Linked DNA regions of Caenorhabditis elegans. The protein of the gene in region 1 purifies or fractionates together with the protein of each later gene. This does not show direct contact. Each region holds a gene or a part of one and is shown in the gene's direction. Other genes may lie near its edges.

Evidence for each region.
Region 2: the proteins of eri-1 (region 1) and rrf-3 purify together in Caenorhabditis elegans (affinity purification with mass spectrometry; 3 studies listed by BioGRID). This does not show direct contact.

What each region holds. Positions count from the first base shown.
Region 1 is NC_003282.8:413,878-421,895, reverse strand, and holds eri-1 (3'-5' exonuclease eri-1), read left to right. Parts: upstream 1-1,937; 5' UTR 1,938-1,944; coding exon 1,945-2,279; intron 2,280-2,496; coding exon 2,497-2,617; intron 2,618-2,671; coding exon 2,672-2,773; intron 2,774-3,304; coding exon 3,305-3,377; intron 3,378-3,420; coding exon 3,421-3,544; intron 3,545-3,609; coding exon 3,610-3,745; intron 3,746-3,793; coding exon 3,794-3,991; intron 3,992-4,557; coding exon 4,558-4,725; coding exon of another isoform or gene 4,726-4,815; exon of another isoform or gene 4,816-5,028; intron 5,029-5,065; coding exon 5,066-5,175; intron 5,176-5,231; coding exon 5,232-5,340; intron 5,341-5,710; coding exon 5,711-5,801; intron 5,802-5,937; coding exon 5,938-6,119; 3' UTR 6,120-6,261; downstream 6,262-8,018. Other genes in the region: Phosphatidylinositol 3,4,5-trisphosphate 3-phosphatase and dual-specificity protein phosphatase daf-18, read left to right, coding at 1-332, 900-1,298, 1,351-1,470; T07A9.12 (uncharacterized protein), read right to left, coding at 6,392-6,578, 7,306-7,454, 7,545-7,646.
Region 2 is NC_003280.10:8,160,003-8,168,924, forward strand, and holds rrf-3 (RNA-directed RNA polymerase), read left to right. Parts: upstream 1-2,462; 5' UTR 2,463-2,555; coding exon 2,556-2,623; intron 2,624-2,678; coding exon 2,679-3,288; intron 3,289-3,334; coding exon 3,335-3,570; intron 3,571-3,617; coding exon 3,618-3,731; intron 3,732-3,781; coding exon 3,782-4,139; intron 4,140-4,184; coding exon 4,185-5,004; intron 5,005-5,051; coding exon 5,052-5,323; intron 5,324-5,368; coding exon 5,369-5,610; intron 5,611-5,652; coding exon 5,653-5,864; intron 5,865-5,910; coding exon 5,911-6,598; intron 6,599-6,646; coding exon 6,647-7,370; intron 7,371-7,414; coding exon 7,415-7,872; intron 7,873-7,917; coding exon 7,918-8,023; intron 8,024-8,074; coding exon 8,075-8,266; intron 8,267-8,312; coding exon 8,313-8,510; 3' UTR 8,511-8,649; downstream 8,650-8,922. Other genes in the region: emb-27 (Cell division cycle protein 16 homolog), read right to left, coding at 1-136, 181-475, 526-892, 936-1,335, 1,382-1,886, 1,931-2,035, 2,082-2,167; T05C12.11 (uncharacterized protein), read right to left, coding at 8,680-8,922.

The sequences.
Region 1 (8,018 bases):
TAGACGCAGAGAAAGCAGCTAAAGGAATTGAAAATACTGGACCCAGTACTTCAGGATCAAGTGCTCCCGGAACTATCAAGAAAACGGAAGCTTCACAATCCGACAAGGTGAAGCCGGCAACTGAAGACGAACTTCCTCCTGCGAGGCTACCGGATAATGTGCGAAGATTTCCAGTCGTCGGCGTTGATTTCGAAAATCCGGAAGAAGAATCGTGTGAACACAAAACCGTAGAGTCAATAGCTGGTTTTGAACCACTCGAACATCTATTCCATGAATCATACCATCCAAATACGGCCGGTAACATGCTGCGTCAGGATTATCACACTGATTCGGTGAATTTGGTTTGAAATTTTAAATTTTGGAATTGAAAGTGAACTTTTTATATTATATGCGGGACCCCTCAATCTACTCACCTTCCTAGGTGTAATTTTTCTAATAATTATTCCTATTGCTATAGTTTCTAATTATATTTCTATATTATCAATATTATAATGTTTCCTCGCTGAAAACCTGCGTATTCATTCGTTGCCAGTGGTAAGTTATATTAATTTTCATTCAGATTTTTAGAGAAATATTTTGAGTATTTAGCTATCGTTATTAAAATAATGATTTTCGTATTGTTCTTAACATTCTGTTAGGTGACTATTTTCTTGTATCGTTGAAGTCCATGCTTCAAAAACAACGACTTTTTTGGCTTAAATACGCTTTCAACGTCGAAAATATTGCCTTAACATCACTTTGGGCAAATTTCTTATTTTGAATTCGATATGCTCGTTTTATTAGCTTCCAGAAAATATAACATTCGACCCATAACTCTCTGATCACCAAAAATAAGAACTCCTAGTAAGATCAAAAACTATCGGGAAATGTTGAATGTATTTTCAATATTTAACTTTCAGGAAGTGAAAATAGCTGAACAAGAGGCAAAAGCCTTCGTTGACCAGTTGCTTAATGGACAAGGTGTATTACAAGAGTTTATGAAGCAATTCAAAGTACCATCGGACAATTCCTTTGCTGATTATGTAACCGGACAGGCCGAAGTTTTTAAAGCACAGATTGCGTTACTGGAGCAGTCGGAGGATTTTCAACGAGTTCAAGCGAATGCAGAGGAAGTCGATCTTGAACACACTCTTGGTGAAGCGTTTGAGCGATTCGGGCACGTTGTAGAAGAATCGAATGGTTCTTCTAAAAATCCAAAAGCCCTGAAAACTCGAGAACAAATGGTGAAAGAAACTGGCAAAGACACTCAGAAGACCCGCAATCATGTGCTTCTACATTTGGAAGCTAATCATCGTGTGGTGAGTAATCTTTTTTATTTTTTATTATGTGATTAAAATGTTAATTTTTCAGCAAATCGAGCGTCGTGAAACGTGCCCGGAGCTACATCCAGAGGATAAAATCCCAAGAATTGCTCATTTTTCCGAAAACAGCTTCTCGGATTCGAATTTTGATCAAGCTATTTATTTGTAAACCTAAAACAAAACTTTTAGAAGATTTTCTTCTTACTGACCCTCCAATTTTCAGATAATTTCAATGTTTTAAGTTTTCTCTTCAAAGTATCATTCACTTTCTGTATAGTGTTTTGTTTTTTAACAAACTATTGTTCGATTATTTTGTATATTCATATTATAGCTCTCAACTTCCCGATTTTCCACGTATATATGTATATTTTGCCGGGTGAAAAATAGCAATTCCCTATGAATGTATCCCCTTCCATCTGTTTTCTTACTCAGAAATTGTAATTCACATTGCGGGTCATCACTAATCCTATGGGCTTTAACACAATTCTCCCATAAATTAATTGTACTTACCAATTTTTTGTTTAATTATTTAGATTTGTAACATTGAAATTGGTGATAATTCCAAAGAAAAATTATATTCTCCGATACATAGAATCTAGGCGCATTCGAATTTACATTGTTTTTCTAAAATTTCAGTTAAAAAATGAGCGCAGATGAGCCGTCTCCAGAAGACGAAAAATATCTGGAAAGTCTACGAGATTTGCTGAAAATCAGCCAAGAATTCGATGCAAGTAACGCAAAACAGAATGACGAACCAGAAAAAACAGCAGTTGAAGTGGAATCGGCTGAAACCAGAACCGACGAATCTGAAAAATCAATCGATATTCCACGTGAACAGCAACTTTTACCCTCCGAACGTGTTGAGCCTTTAAAATCAATGGTGGAACCAGAATACGTGAAAAAAGTGATAAGGCAAATGGATACAATGACTGCTGAACAGCTAAAACAAGCGTTGATGAAGATTAAAGTGTCCACAGGGTAAAATTATGCTAAATTCATTCAAACTTCTTATTTTCCTAACAGAACCCAATTTCGTACATTTAAGATATAGCTTTGCTTCATTTTTGATAGTTTTGTTAAAAAGAAACAGCATTTTTTGAATCATTTTGCGTTAAATATAGTCATCCGTAAAAGAAATAATGTAATTTTCTTACTAAAATTTCGAAATTAACTTAAATTATAACTCTAATTTCAGCGGAAACAAGAAAACTCTTCGAAAACGGGTTGCACAATATTATCGAAAGGAAAATGCATTATTGAATCGAAAAATGGAGCCGAATGCCGATAAAACTGCACGCTTTTTTGACTATTTAATTGTATGATTTTCAGAATTTCTGGAAAAGAAATACTTTAGTTATTAATTATTTCAGGCAATTGATTTCGAGTGTACGTGCGTCGAGATTATATACGATTACCCACACGAAATCATCGAATTACCGGCAGTTTTGATCGACGTTCGGGAAATGAAAATTGTAGGATTTTTTCATCTTTGAAAATGGAATATGTCGAATTACGCATGTCGTGTACTCCCCGCGGACAAGGATTGAACAGTTCTCAGTTGAAATTCTTGATTTTGGATTTTTCCTCTGGGGTTTCGGCTCGAATTTTATTTTTTTTTTTCGTGTTTTCCCGCAAGAAAATCATTTTTTCCGGGAAAAGGTGACAAACGTTTCGTCATCCTATCGAAATCTGGAATATAAAAATGTATTCAACAAAAAACGTTTCAAATACAACATTTTTCGTCTTTTTTGGGTTTCTTATTTAGCTATAAAATTTGTTTCGCTTGTGAAGAAAATATTGGAAAAAAATAGAAAAATCCTTCTCCCATTTTTCAATTTAAGGCAGATGGAAGTTCTTTGGTGTATTATCAAGTTATAAAAACTGACTAAACTGAAAGCTTTTTTTGTTTTGTTTTGTTTATTTATTTTAGGAATATAAATAAAAAACGAAAAATATATAACTTTATAATATCCATCGTCAAAATAAGCATATTTAATTTCCAGATCAGCGAGTTTCGAACCTATGTCCGACCTGTCAGAAATCCGAAGCTCAGCGAATTTTGTATGCAGTTTACCAGTAAGACACTAATGTCATTTTTAAAATGTAAACCCTGTTGTAGAAATTGCCCAAGAAACAGTCGATGCTGCTCCATATTTCCGAGAGGCTCTTCAACGGCTGTACACATGGATGCGAAAATTCAATCTCGGACAGAAAAATTCCAGATTCGCATTTGTTACTGATGGGTAAGGAATCGAAGACGATTTTTTGTTCACTAAAACTTCAAAGTTGTGCATAACGAACTATTCAGACCTCACGATATGTGGAAATTCATGCAATTTCAATGCCTTTTATCGAATATTCGAATGCCCCATATGTTCCGAAGTTTTATCAACATCAAAAAGACATTCAAAGAGAAATTCAATGGACTTATCAAGGGAAATGGAGTAAGTTTTTAAGGTTCAAATTTTAATTAAAACCTCAATTCTCTTCAGAAATCCGGAATTGAAAACATGTTAGAACGTCTGGATCTGTCGTTTGTTGGAAATAAACATAGTGGATTGGATGATGCAACGAATATTGCAGCGATTGCGATTCAAATGATGAAGTTGAAAATTGAGTTGAGAATTAATCAGAAATGCTCGTATAAGGAGAATCAACGGAGTGCTGCGCGAAAGGATGAAGAGCGAGAGGTTCGAAACAGACTACGTCGTTTTCACCCGATGGGTTGACTCTCCCATTCGGTCTCGGGTGTCAACAAGTGATTCCATGTTTTGAAAAAAGCTCTTCCCTCAACCCTTAAAATTTCGATATGAAATTGTTTCAGTGCATTTTTCACTAATTTGGAGACCTGTTGAATTGCTCTAAATGTTTTTTTGCAAAGTTCAATGTTTTTCAGAACGGTTATAAGTAGGTGAACACTCTGGGAGATTTTTGGACTTTTTTTTGTTGTGAAAATCTGAACATTTTTGGATCAAGTGGAGTGAAGAAACTTTCAGATTTTTTTCAAAAAATTACAAATTTTTGAAAAATCTCCCAGAGTGTTCACCTACTTCTAAACGTTCTGAAAAAACATTAAAGTTTGAAAAAAACGCATTTGGAGCAATTCTACAGGCCTCCAAAGTAGTGAAAACAGGCACTGAAACAATTCCAGATCGAAATGAAGTCTGACGATAAAATGGAAACCTTTCCTTCTTGTTAGGAAAATTAGGAAATAGTTCATCACAAATTTCAATTAAAAAGTTATTAAATTTTTCAGTTAGAAGACGCTGCAAACGTGGATCTTACATCAGTCGATATCTCTCGTCGTGATTTTCAACTTTGGATGCGTCGTTTACCACTGAAACTGTCCTCTGTGACACGACGAGAGTTCATAAATGAAGAGTATTTGGATTGTGATTCATGTGATGATTTGACTGATGATAAGGTGAAACATCTACATTCTTGTGATATTTATGAAATTTTCGATGAAAAAACTTCAGCTAGTTTTACAGATTCAAAGTGTTTGATTTGCTAGGCGAATTTTGGCAAAAGTATACTTATTGATGTAAACATTTTCCCTATCAATTTTGTGTCTTAGCCAACGAATTTCCAAATTTTATTTCAAAAGTAAAATTCCATGTCAAATTTTACATTTTTAGTTTAAAAATTATGTTTCTTCCAAGCCCACATTTTTCATTGAAACTGGTATAGTTGTATTTGATTCGCCCCGAATAAATAATTTTCTGTTTCCATGTTTTATACACACAAAAACTCAAAATTTTCAGAACGACGAGGCGGCATTCCAGGAAAAAATGGCAATTCGAGAGTATTTGGAGAATAAACAGACGGAAGATTTCGCGAAAATTGCTGCTGAGCGGGGAATTTTTAAAATTGGGTAATGGACTTTGGATGGAATTTTGAACAAAAAAATCTAGTTTCTGGCGTTTTCAGTGAAATAAAATCATATCAAACTGCAAGACCGATAATAGAGGATGATGACGTGGATGTTGAAAGTGAAGAGGAAGATTATGGAACTGAATTTGAAATGTTGGAAGTTGTGGTGAGAATGTTGAGAAAAAACACTTCAAAAATATCAATTTTGTTTTTAAAAATCAACGCCACGATTCGATGAATCGAAATTCAAAAATTCTCCGAAAAAGCGGAAAACTCTGCTTTTGAAATCAGAAATTTGCAATGTTTTCCGGGATAATCGAAAATTTCTTTCAAAAAAAAATTAATGTAGGTATAAATTTCAGATTCATCGTGGTGTGGATTTTAAAAATCCGCGAGAGAAAAAAATTCTGAATAACTAAGCTTTTCGATTTTCGTATAATACAAAACCGAACTTTTATTTTGTTTTCAAATTTTAATAAAATTCGAGCAAAAAACCAAATCGATTTGGAGTTTTAATAATTAATTTTTTCGTTCAGGAAAGAATGCCTCCAGTTAGTTCTACGTTACACACTGAAGTCGATTTAGATGCTGTATGGGAACGAGATGGTGGAAGTGATTCTGAAAGAGGTACGTCGAGGGAATTGCAATATGGAAATTGCATTAGAAAAAGCTTGAAATTCTGTTTGATTAAAATGTCAATTCAATTGCTCCCAAAGTTTAAATTATTGAATAGCACTTAAAAAACATAATTGTGAAAATTCAGAAAACCTCTCAAATGCTCCAAGTCTCCACGAGTTTCCATCGTCATCCACATCATCACCACATGCCACGTCAGAACATGTGACGTCATCATCACCACTTCATATCGACGATGACGTGGACCGCGTGTTGAATGCGCCGCCCAAAAATTCGTTGGCATCGTCTTCAAATCGATCTAGTTTCTAGATTTTCTTGTATACGAATTTAATTATTTTTGCAGGTTTTGTAGTATTCGAGTATTTCATTTTCATTTTTGATCTCAATTTTTTTTCGCTCCAATCTTTTTTCTCCTTTAAATCGCGTTTATATGAAATTTGTCACATGTTTTATTTAGGTTATACACGGATGACGTTTCAGATGGTATTTATTTGTATTTCTTTTGGAAACCCGTTGAAAATAGGAAAAAACAACAATAATGTACAGAAAATGATAGGAAATGAGAAGAATGAGCAGTTAAACTAGTTATTTGTTGCCCGACACATTTGAAATCCCCACGAAGCCAGGAGAAGCCACATTGGCAAAAAAACCATCCCATACGTATTCCGATTTGCAACTTCTGATTTCTCCAACTCTCCACTGATTTTTTCAACGATGAAGTATATGAAGAGCGTGATGCATGTGAGACGGAATATGTTGAGAATTACTCTGAAAAAAAAATATATATTGCATGTTCAATTTTGAATTTTCTGTTTTCACAGATGATTCGCATTTGGTCTGTCGCAAGTAGGAACACGTAATTTGCGTTCAACGGGCTATAATTTCGCAGTTATGTATTCCTACGGACTGGTCTCGCCACGATCTTTCCGGCGGCCGCTTCATTTTAATAAGAGTTTCAGAGTTGTAAAACCATTTTTGGAAAGACCACAAGAATCTTGAATTAAGCCAATATTTAAAAAATTTATTGCTGTGAGAACTATTTAAACTAATCTAAACGTCTTTAGGTACCAGAAAAGTTTCAGAAAAATGCAAAACAGAGACAGTTTTTCTGCGTTAGAGTTGTAAAAAGAAGGTTATTTCAGGCATTTAACTCGAACTCCAAAATTTTGATTTTTGCTCCAGGCATACGGTACCTGATCTCGAAACCATAAATGCGAAAAAATTGTGCGCCTTTAAGTGAGTTCTGTAATTTCAAACTTCAATTTTTGAAAAATTTCCATTGATTTCTTATGAAAATCGATCAAAATTCAGCAGCAGAGGAATTTTGAAATTTCAGTACTAAATATTTAATAAAGGTACACGTTTCTACATTTAACGACAAGTTCTCTTTGGTGCAAAAATTGCAAAACCGCGACTCCAGGTTTGCCAACAGTTGTTTATATATTTCATCAAACACAAATGAAAATTTTAAATTAAAAACAGGTTCAAAACTTACCTAACAGTAGGACCTCTATAATCCTTAAATTCGACACATGATCGAAGATAAATGATGAATACGAAAAAATAAGAAAATGCAAGTCCAACGAACAAAGGAGATGCCACCCACATATATGAGATTGATACTGTTTCGTGCAGTTTTAGACACTGAAATTATAACTGTTTTAGATGAACTTATTTATAACTGAAAAATAATATTCAAAATGGTTTACTTTCGTAAGCTTTTTTTCAACATACCAACATGACCGAAGATACGATAATTGCTGCAAAATGAACCCATAATTCGAACAATGTAATGTCAAACCAAGTTGTCATCTCTCGAAGTGTTAGAAGCACCATACTAAAATTCTGAAACTCGACTTTTGTACAAAAATTCTTAGAGGATATAAAAAATTAAAGGAACATATCAACCAAATTTTTTAATTTATCATCTTAAAGTCGTTGCAACATGTGCTTTGATAGCATGACGCCACTAGTTTTTTTTGCAGGACTTCGAAAAACTACGTAATATCAGTGATAGTGTCAGTTTGAATTTGATCACGGCCCGAGAAGTGGTACCTGTACGCAATTTGTCTACCGTACCACTGGCTGCGTTTATGCATTTTTCTCAAAAACGTCACCTTAGTTTTTTAAAATTTGGAAGACGAAATGACCAAAAAAAAAGTTATATAATTTTCGTAGGTGAATTTTTTCCATACCTTCTGTTTGAAC
Region 2 (8,922 bases), on another chromosome or scaffold:
GCATCGACATAAATGGTTGGCTTGACGATACGATGGACGGAACAACGAATCCATCATTTCGTGGTTTTCTTATTGCACAGTACGGAAGAATTTCTTGTGCACCGAAGTATGTTTCAGAGTTGTATGCGGGCGGGAGCTGAAAACAAAAAACCTAGATAACATAAGATATAGTATATTTACCGTTTGTTGATCAACAGAATAACTTTCTTTTGACGCTTGAATCATTTTTGACAGACATTGACGGATTGTTTCATTAAATGGATCGATCGCAAGAGCTTTATTGAAGAATTCAGTTGCTTTATCAATGTTGCCGAGAACTGCGTAACAGAGAGCAGTTGATGCAATGGCATCTACAAACTTTGGCTCCATTCGGATAGCTTTTTGATAAAACATGATTGCTTCATTCAGCCTTCCTTGCCGTCTGGCTATGTGGCCAATGTTATTGAGCATTGGGTGCCAAAAGTCGTCGATTTTCCTGAAAAAATGTTATTTTTCTCTCAAATAATCATCGAATTAGATACTTACTTTTTCAAGACTTCTTCAATTGGAATGATTTCATCGGTCTCTGTAACCATATACAAAACAGTTCTGAATAAAATATCGGCTTCCGCGTAACTTTTTGCAGTATAGGCTACACAAGCTTCTTCGTGACGAATCAGAGGGTCATTCGGTGCCCGAGCAACTGCTTCTCCCATGAACTTCTTGCTCAGCTTCTGACTATGCGTACTGTACTGAAGAGAAGTGTACAAGAACGGTTCAGAACTTTTATCCACAAGTTTCGACGCTCTGTAATAGCAACTCATGGACTGTTCGTGTTCAACTTCATAGTGAAGAATATGACCAAAAGCCACCCATCCTTCAGCAAACGTCGAATCCATCATCGTGCATTTACCTAAAGAAGCTCTATTTAAACCTCAATGAAATGGGAAACATACTGATGAAATTTCGAGCTCTTGAGTTTGCTCCAATACTATAATAATACATAGCAACACAATACCATGGAAGTGGAATATGAGGATCATCACTAACTAGTTGATGACCTAATTCAAGCAGAGATCGAGAATCCTTTAACATTGTTAGGCAGTGAATACGAAGAATAATGCACTCAGGATGTGGTCCAAATAGATCAAATAGCTCGTCAGTGATTTTTTTTGTTTCTCGAAATCGACCCATCTCGTAGGCACGTTGAGCACGTTCCATAAGAATTCGTGGATCATGATTTCCTTCGTGTAACTTCAGCTGTTCATTTCTGACTTTTCTGTACTTCTCCCACATCGCAGGCTCAACCAGATTGTATTTTGCCATTAATCGTTCGACATGGAGAGTTGTATTATCCTGAAATAATAAAACACGGTCAAATCATGTATAAAAGATGACTTACAAGACTCAGCGCGTAATTAATACAAATCATTGCAGCATCACGATTCATCAATTTCAAAAAACTTTCTGCTATGGTTATCATAAGAGCTGGAACCATTCTGAGCTTTTTAGAGCTATTATCCAATTCGGCCATATTTGCAAATGAGTACTTCATTCTTTCTTCCTCGACATATCTCCCCGTCACTTGTGAAAGTGTTCGAACAGGAAGAGGTCCAATTTGGCCATTACTTGGAAGAAGATGACCGACCGATAATTCAGCTACATCTTCGTATAATTTCCGTTGGAAAAGTGCGGTAGCGGCATAATAAGCAAAAACAATGTGAATCTGATGATAGTTCCCACGAGCAATAATATGGCTAATACGCCGCCATTGACGGAGAACGACGAGAATTTTTACGTATTCAGCGATGGTGACAATATCTTGCTGTTCATCATCAATTATATTAGAGTATAATGTATCCGCGTAAGCTACAGCTTCATCGGTTCTGCCGATTTCAAGCATTTCCCTAAAAATATAACATATTAATATATATGCTGGTCTCAAACTGACATCACTTTCTCCATGCTCGCCTCGTCATAATACTCCGATCCATCAATTCTACTTGCAAGTGTTTTAATCGGCTTGAAACGAATAGACTCGTGTTTCGGCAAATCTCTGAAAAATTGTAGTTTGAAAAAGAAATGTTATTTATTAAACTCACAAAGATGATGCTGGCTTGCTTGAGGAACCTTCATCAGCCAATGTCGGAATCGCAAAACTTTTTGTATCAGGCGAGATCGCGCTCATGCTGTAAAGGCTTCGTATATTTGTTTAGTAAGTAGAGAACTTAAGTTAAGCAACAAGAATTGTAAAATAGAAATTCAATAATGACGTTAATTGCAATGGAACTGTTGTGAAAAAGTGTTGAGATTATAGTCTTATTTTTAGATTATAATTTTACAGCTTACACGGAGTAGTTACAGCTACTTTAACTAAATAACATAAAGGCGCGCCTAGGCGCTTAAAAACAAAATAAAAAGGATTTAATGCTTGATCAAATTTAAATTTTAGCCGTAACTGCGGAGTCTCGTTGCTAATTGTCAATGGAGCGAACATACATCATCAAATTTTTGAATAAAATTGTTTCTCATTTTTTTCGTAAAATAAATGCCATTTTCAAAAAGTCTTTCACAAAATGCTCCCGTTTGATAATGATGACTCTAGCGATGATGCTACAACTTCTGTTAGGCCGAAGCATCCAAGGTAATTGAAATTCGGTGAGCAAACGGTAGTCAAATGAAACAATGTTTTTTTCCAGAGGAGTTCCTCAGAGTCAATCAACATTTCCACGTGGTAGATCGAATTTTTCGTCTGGAACTTTACCAAATCGAAAAACAGAATGCACTCCAGTGAACACCTTAACAATTGGGCATTCAAACAAGATGCTATTGACAACGTTTCGGATGGATCGAAATTCAAAATCTAAATCGGAAGTTGACGTACAAGAACAGCCTGTTCACTCTTCATCGTCGGCTTTTCCAGGAAATCATTTAAACAATTTTTCGTATCCAGTGAATCGTGGATATCTTCGTGATTACCTGCTACAGTCACAAAGGCCTTCTACTTCAAAACCAGTCGACTGTTCTGTTCTAAAACGGCACTCTCTCCCATCAACTCACATTCTTTATGAGAAAACGAAGCACAGAGGTGGTGTAAATATCGAAGAACAAGAAAAACTCGTGCGGATGTTATGGGCCGCTGCAGAAGAATCGGAAACAGTTGCGAAGACGAGACAGTTTAGTAAAAAACAGGCGATTGAGCTGAATTTCGATGCTAAGCTCATTGGCAGCATGAATAATGATTGCTTTGGATATTGCCGAGCACACATGGAAAATATAAAAGATGTTTTGAAAACACACTTGAAATTGGTAAGCGATTTTTTAATTGGCCGTATTTGAAACAATTTAATTTCAGTCTAAAGTTGACGAGGTAAACTGGATCAAGGTGGGGATGGTGCCACGAGCTGCGTACGAAGATAAATCATACGTCATCGATGCTCATTTAGTTTTGACGCCAAACGGTGAAGTAGAAGATGAAAATGAATTGTTCTCCGAGTTCGCATCAAGTTTCACATCTAGAATAACTGGAATGCTCCATGATCAAGTATTTTTGGAAGTCCCGAAAATGCATACGCTTTTCACAAAAATAACGTAATAGAATACTCATCCGCTTTTTATATACTCAAGTTATAATTTAGACCCCAACACATGGATATAAATATTTCTGCGATTGCGATTGGAAACTGCCCTAATTCAGGACTTTTCCTTGTTAGAGGAGATTTCATCAGTCAAGAAAACACAGTTTGTAGTGTGTAAGTTGCACATATTCTACAGAATTTCTAATCAGATTTTTGTTTTTAAGAAAGCTTCAGTCACACCATAATGCAGATGCATCCCGTGAAAACAGTTCATTCAAAGTGGCAGGAAGCAATAAATACCTCTCGTATGCGAGATTTGAGCATGACAAAAGACTGGCAGTGGTATATTTCGGAGTTCGATTAGCCGAATTCGCTGATGATGGTTTGGATCATGCCGGATTTCGTCTTAATCTATATTATAATTTGTTTGTTCGAATTGTTGTCGACATGTCTCATGAAACTACGAACAGTATTTATATACAAATGAAAAATCCACCGCATCTCTGGGAAGGAATTCCGAAAAATACGATTTTTCACCCATCAAAGTCGAAGGTTCTCAATATGGAAACGTGCACAGAATGGGTGATATGGTATGCAAATAACTTTTAAAAACTTGTAAATTTTCAGACAAGAGTATTGAGTTGGCCTGGCGATGCTGAGGGCCGAGGTGTCGGTTGTACTTCTGAAGCTTTCTCGCAAAGCTCCTGGATCCGGTTGACAATGAGAAAAGATGATGATAACGATTCGGTATCGTCTACACAATTGATGGATATTGTTACTAGACTTTCTGCTCGAAGCAAAGCAAAAGTGATGTTCGGCTCCATTTTTTCAATTCGCCGAAAACTTGCACCATCCCCGGCTTTCCATTCTCTGGGATCTTTCCGAGCGAATTATGCTCTCCAGGCTCTAATCACACGCGGAAGTGTATTTACGGACCAACTTTTCGACGCAACTGATGAAAATATTCCAAGTTCAGACAATGACAATGATGAAGATGATGACGATGATGTTGATGACACGAAAAAGCCAATGGAATTAGTACACGAGCCGCTCTTTCTGAAATTAGTTCGTAGGGGAATGAAAGAATGCTCTCAAGCCACAGAAGAGACTCTCGAACAACTTTTGAATGCATTTGATGAACGTCGTCAAATCGATGTAGTTACCGCGTTCACAACAATGTATCAATCAAGAAAGATTCAATACGAAAGACTTCTGAAAGGAGAAAGCCTTCAAGATGTAGGCCTTGCAAAGCCATTGCCGAAGAATTGTGTTTCAGTGGCTAAAGTTATTGTAACACCATCTCGAATACTGCTAATGGCTCCAGAAGTAATGATGGTAAATCGAGTTGTTAGAAGATTTGGACCTGATTATGCTCTTCGTTGTGTGTTCCGAGATGACAATCTGGGCCGGCTCGCTATTCGCGACTTTTCCATCAATAATATAGATCGTAAGAAATTCTTTAAATATTTTTAAATATATTATCTAAGTTTCCAGACATGTCGAATATTGTCACCGAAGGAATTTATTTGACTCTCAAAAATGGAATTCAAGTTGCTGATCGTGTCTACAGTTTTCTAGGATGGAGTAATTCTCAAATGCGTGATCAAGGATGTTATTTATACGCTCCTCGAGTCAATGCATTAACTGGTGAAGTCACAGGAACTGTAGAAGATATTAGAGTATGGATGGGAGATTTCCGAGATGCGATTAGTGTTCCAAAGATGATGAGTCGAATGGGACAATGCTTTACACAAGCACAACCAACGGTATATTCTAGTGTTAAAAATATTCATATAGTCGAAAATATTCAGGTACGTCTTGAACGACATCACTGGATCGTTGAACCTGACATTGAAGGTGGTGTAGAGAACAAATATTGTTTTTCTGATGGTTGTGGTCGAATTTCTATCAAACTGGCAACACATATATCTAAGATTCTCCAATTGAAGGAAGTACCAGCTTGTTTCCAAGTGCGATTTAAAGGTTTCAAAGGAATTCTAGTTATTGATCCAACAATCGATGATATTATAAATATGCCTAAAGTTATCTTCAGGTAGTGATGATCTATCAAACAAATTATATGATCAATTTTCAGAAAAAGTCAGCAAAAGTTTGGTGAAGGTGGTGGAGAGCTGCAAGATGAATACCTCGAAGTAGTAAAATACGCTATGCCATCTCCAGTTTGTCTCAACCGTCCATTCATTACAATCCTGGATCAAGTGTCGGAAAAACAATCTGCAAGCTCTCACAGAAGGATCACAAATCGTGTTCATTATTACTTGGAAAGAGAACTATGTTCTCTGAGTAGTATGTAGTTACTGTATGGTTACAAATCATAATCTCCTAATTTTAGATATGCTCATAAATGAAAATCAAGCAGCAGAAGAGCTAGTCAATCGCACAAACTTGGCAATCGACTGGAACGCAGCAAGCAAACGAGCCGGGTTCGAATTGAGTGTAGATCCATTGATACGAGATATGCTATTCTCTATTTATCGCTACAACATCATCCATCACATTTCTAAAGCTAAAATTTTCTTGCCTCCAAGTTTGGGAAGATCAATGTACGGTGTTGTCGATGAGACTGGACTTTTACAGTACGGACAGGTTTTCATCCAGTATTCACCAAGTATCCGACAAACCAGTAACCGTCCAATATTGAAAACAGGCAAAGTTTTGATTACCAAAAATCCGTGTCACGTTCCTGGAGATGTTCGAGTTTTCGACGCAGTTTGGCAACCAGCATTAGCTCATTTAGTCGATGTTGTAGTATTTCCACAACATGGCCCACGACCACATCCCGATGAAATGGCAGGTTCAGATTTGGATGGAGATGAGTATTCTATAATATGGGATCAAGAAATGCTACTCGATTATAATGAAGAAGCAATGGTTTTTCCGAGTAGTTCAGCTGCAGAAGAAGACAAAGAACCTACTACAGATGATATGGTTGAATTCTTCCTTCGATACCTTCAACAGGATTCAATTGGAAGAATGAGTCACGCTCATTTGGCTTATGCTGATCTTCACGGACTTTTCCAGTATGTTCCTTGAAATTATCCATGTTAAGCCAATATCTTATTTTTCAGCGAAAATTGTCACGCCATCGCGCTCAAATGTGCAGTAGCTGTAGATTTTCCGAAAAGTGGAGTTCCCGCGGAACCATTGTCAAGTTTCGAGCAATGCGAAATGACACCTGATTATATGATGTCAGGTGGAAAACCGATGTACTACAGTACCCGATTAAATGGACAATTGCACCGAAAAGCTCGAAAAGTTGAAGAAGTTTTGGAAGAATTTGAAACACGCGGGAGTGTATTCGAAAGAGAATATGATAAACTGATTTGTCCAGAAGACGTTGATGTTTTCTTCGGAAATGAAATAAAACTTGTACAAACATTGACTCTTCGCGATGAATACGTTGATCGAATGCAACAACTTTTGGATGAATATGGAATTGAAGACGAAGCTTCAGTTGTGTCTGGACATGCTGCAAGTATCAAGAGATTAGCTGGAATGGAGAGAGACGACTATTCATTTTATCACACTGATAAGGTCGTTGAGCTTCGTTATGAAAAATTGTATGCTGTATTTCGTGCAAAATTCTTTGAAGAGTTTGGTGGAGAAGAAATCAACATTGAGAATGATGGAAAGAACACTCGGTTGAAATGTACGAAGGCAATGCATGAAAAGATTCGGCAATGGTATTTCGTGGCATATGTGCAGCCAAAGATAAATAAGGCTGGAAGATGCATTGGACAGAGTCTTCCCTGGGTTGCTTGGGATGCATTGTGTGATTTGAGGCGACAATTAGTAAGTTAAAATTATGAAATAAATATATTAATTTTTTGTTGCAGATGCTCGATAAAAATGACGCAGTTTTACGAGGCAAATATCCAATTGCTGCTCGTTTAGAAGAGGAGATCGAAAACTCCATTGAAAGGCAGTTTGACAAGTTTCTCAAATTGAAAGATTTGATTGAATCTCACAAAGATGCGCTTTTCCTGAGACGATACGTATATTTTTATGGAGATCAGATTATAAAAATGTTGTTCATCCTGAAAGTTTGGCTTGAACGAGAAAATGTGCTCCCATCAAGTGTTTTGTCGATTTGGCAGCTGGGAAGACTTTTGATTCGTCTAGGGCTCGGAGATCTCCTGGGAAATCCCACTATTGATTATGAAAAAAGTCTTCTGATGCCAACAACAATGTTTCAGCAATGGATTTCGAAGAAAGAAGATGCAGATGAAGCTCCGATATTGAGAAATTTCGATATGGGAACAATGATGCTCGAATTTCTCAGATATTTGGCAAGGTAAATTTAAAAATCTAGTGTTGGAAAAATTTTTCAATATTTCAGTCAATCTTTCGCATCAGCTGAAAGCATAAGTCTTCGAGTTTTCTACGAAAAAGATATTGTTGAGCCAATACTTACTAAAAGTGCACAATGGATGCCTTTACATCTTGTAAGCTCGATCTTTAATATTCCAGATCTATCAACAAAAAACATATTCCAGATTGCATATCGTACATTTCATTCCATCGCTGTGTCTGGACGGTTTGATGCGCTTCATTTGGACGATGAGGATGCGGTGGATCAGATTACAGAAAGCAAGGATCCAATACTAGTTAACGAGTCATTGTTCTCTTCGAGAAACTACAACGATGATTATCCGATCAGTAGGAGTAGAATATTGCAATCTTTGAAGGTAAGTGGTTCGAAAATACTTTTCGTTTCTAGTGAAAAACTTTCAGGATTGGTCTGGTGTCAAAGAAATAATTCCTCGCGAAATCACTGGAACTCGGAAGTCTGATATGATCTATGTTACATCAGTTGGAACGGTTCTTGCACGACAACGCCTCGCTCGACTTTTACTTCTCAGTGGAGAGACAATTAGGGACGCGATTGCCAACAACGTCGTGCCGAATGAAGTACGCGACGAGTTCTTGTAATATAGATTTCCACTTATATCATGTTTTATGTTTTGCTTGTTTTATAGAATTTTTAATGATGAGACGAGTATATTTGTATGTGTAATAATGTTTTGATCTCGGTTCGATTTTCAGATAAATTTATTGGGTTTTTTTAAATTGGAAAGAAATATTATTTTAAATCACATATTCAAGCATCAACTGCAAATGGAGATTTACCACCTCTTGGCTTAGTCATTAGATAGAAAACTGTAAAAGTTCCGAAAACAGCAAGAAAAAGCATAATAGTACAAACAATAACAGAACAAAGTACAAATGTGATTGACCATTCCTTATTCACTGCATGAGTCCACGAACTTTCCATTTTCGGTTCACTTGTACTACTGCTCACAGTTGGATTCTTGCCAAGTGTGAACTTACTCCATTTATTCGT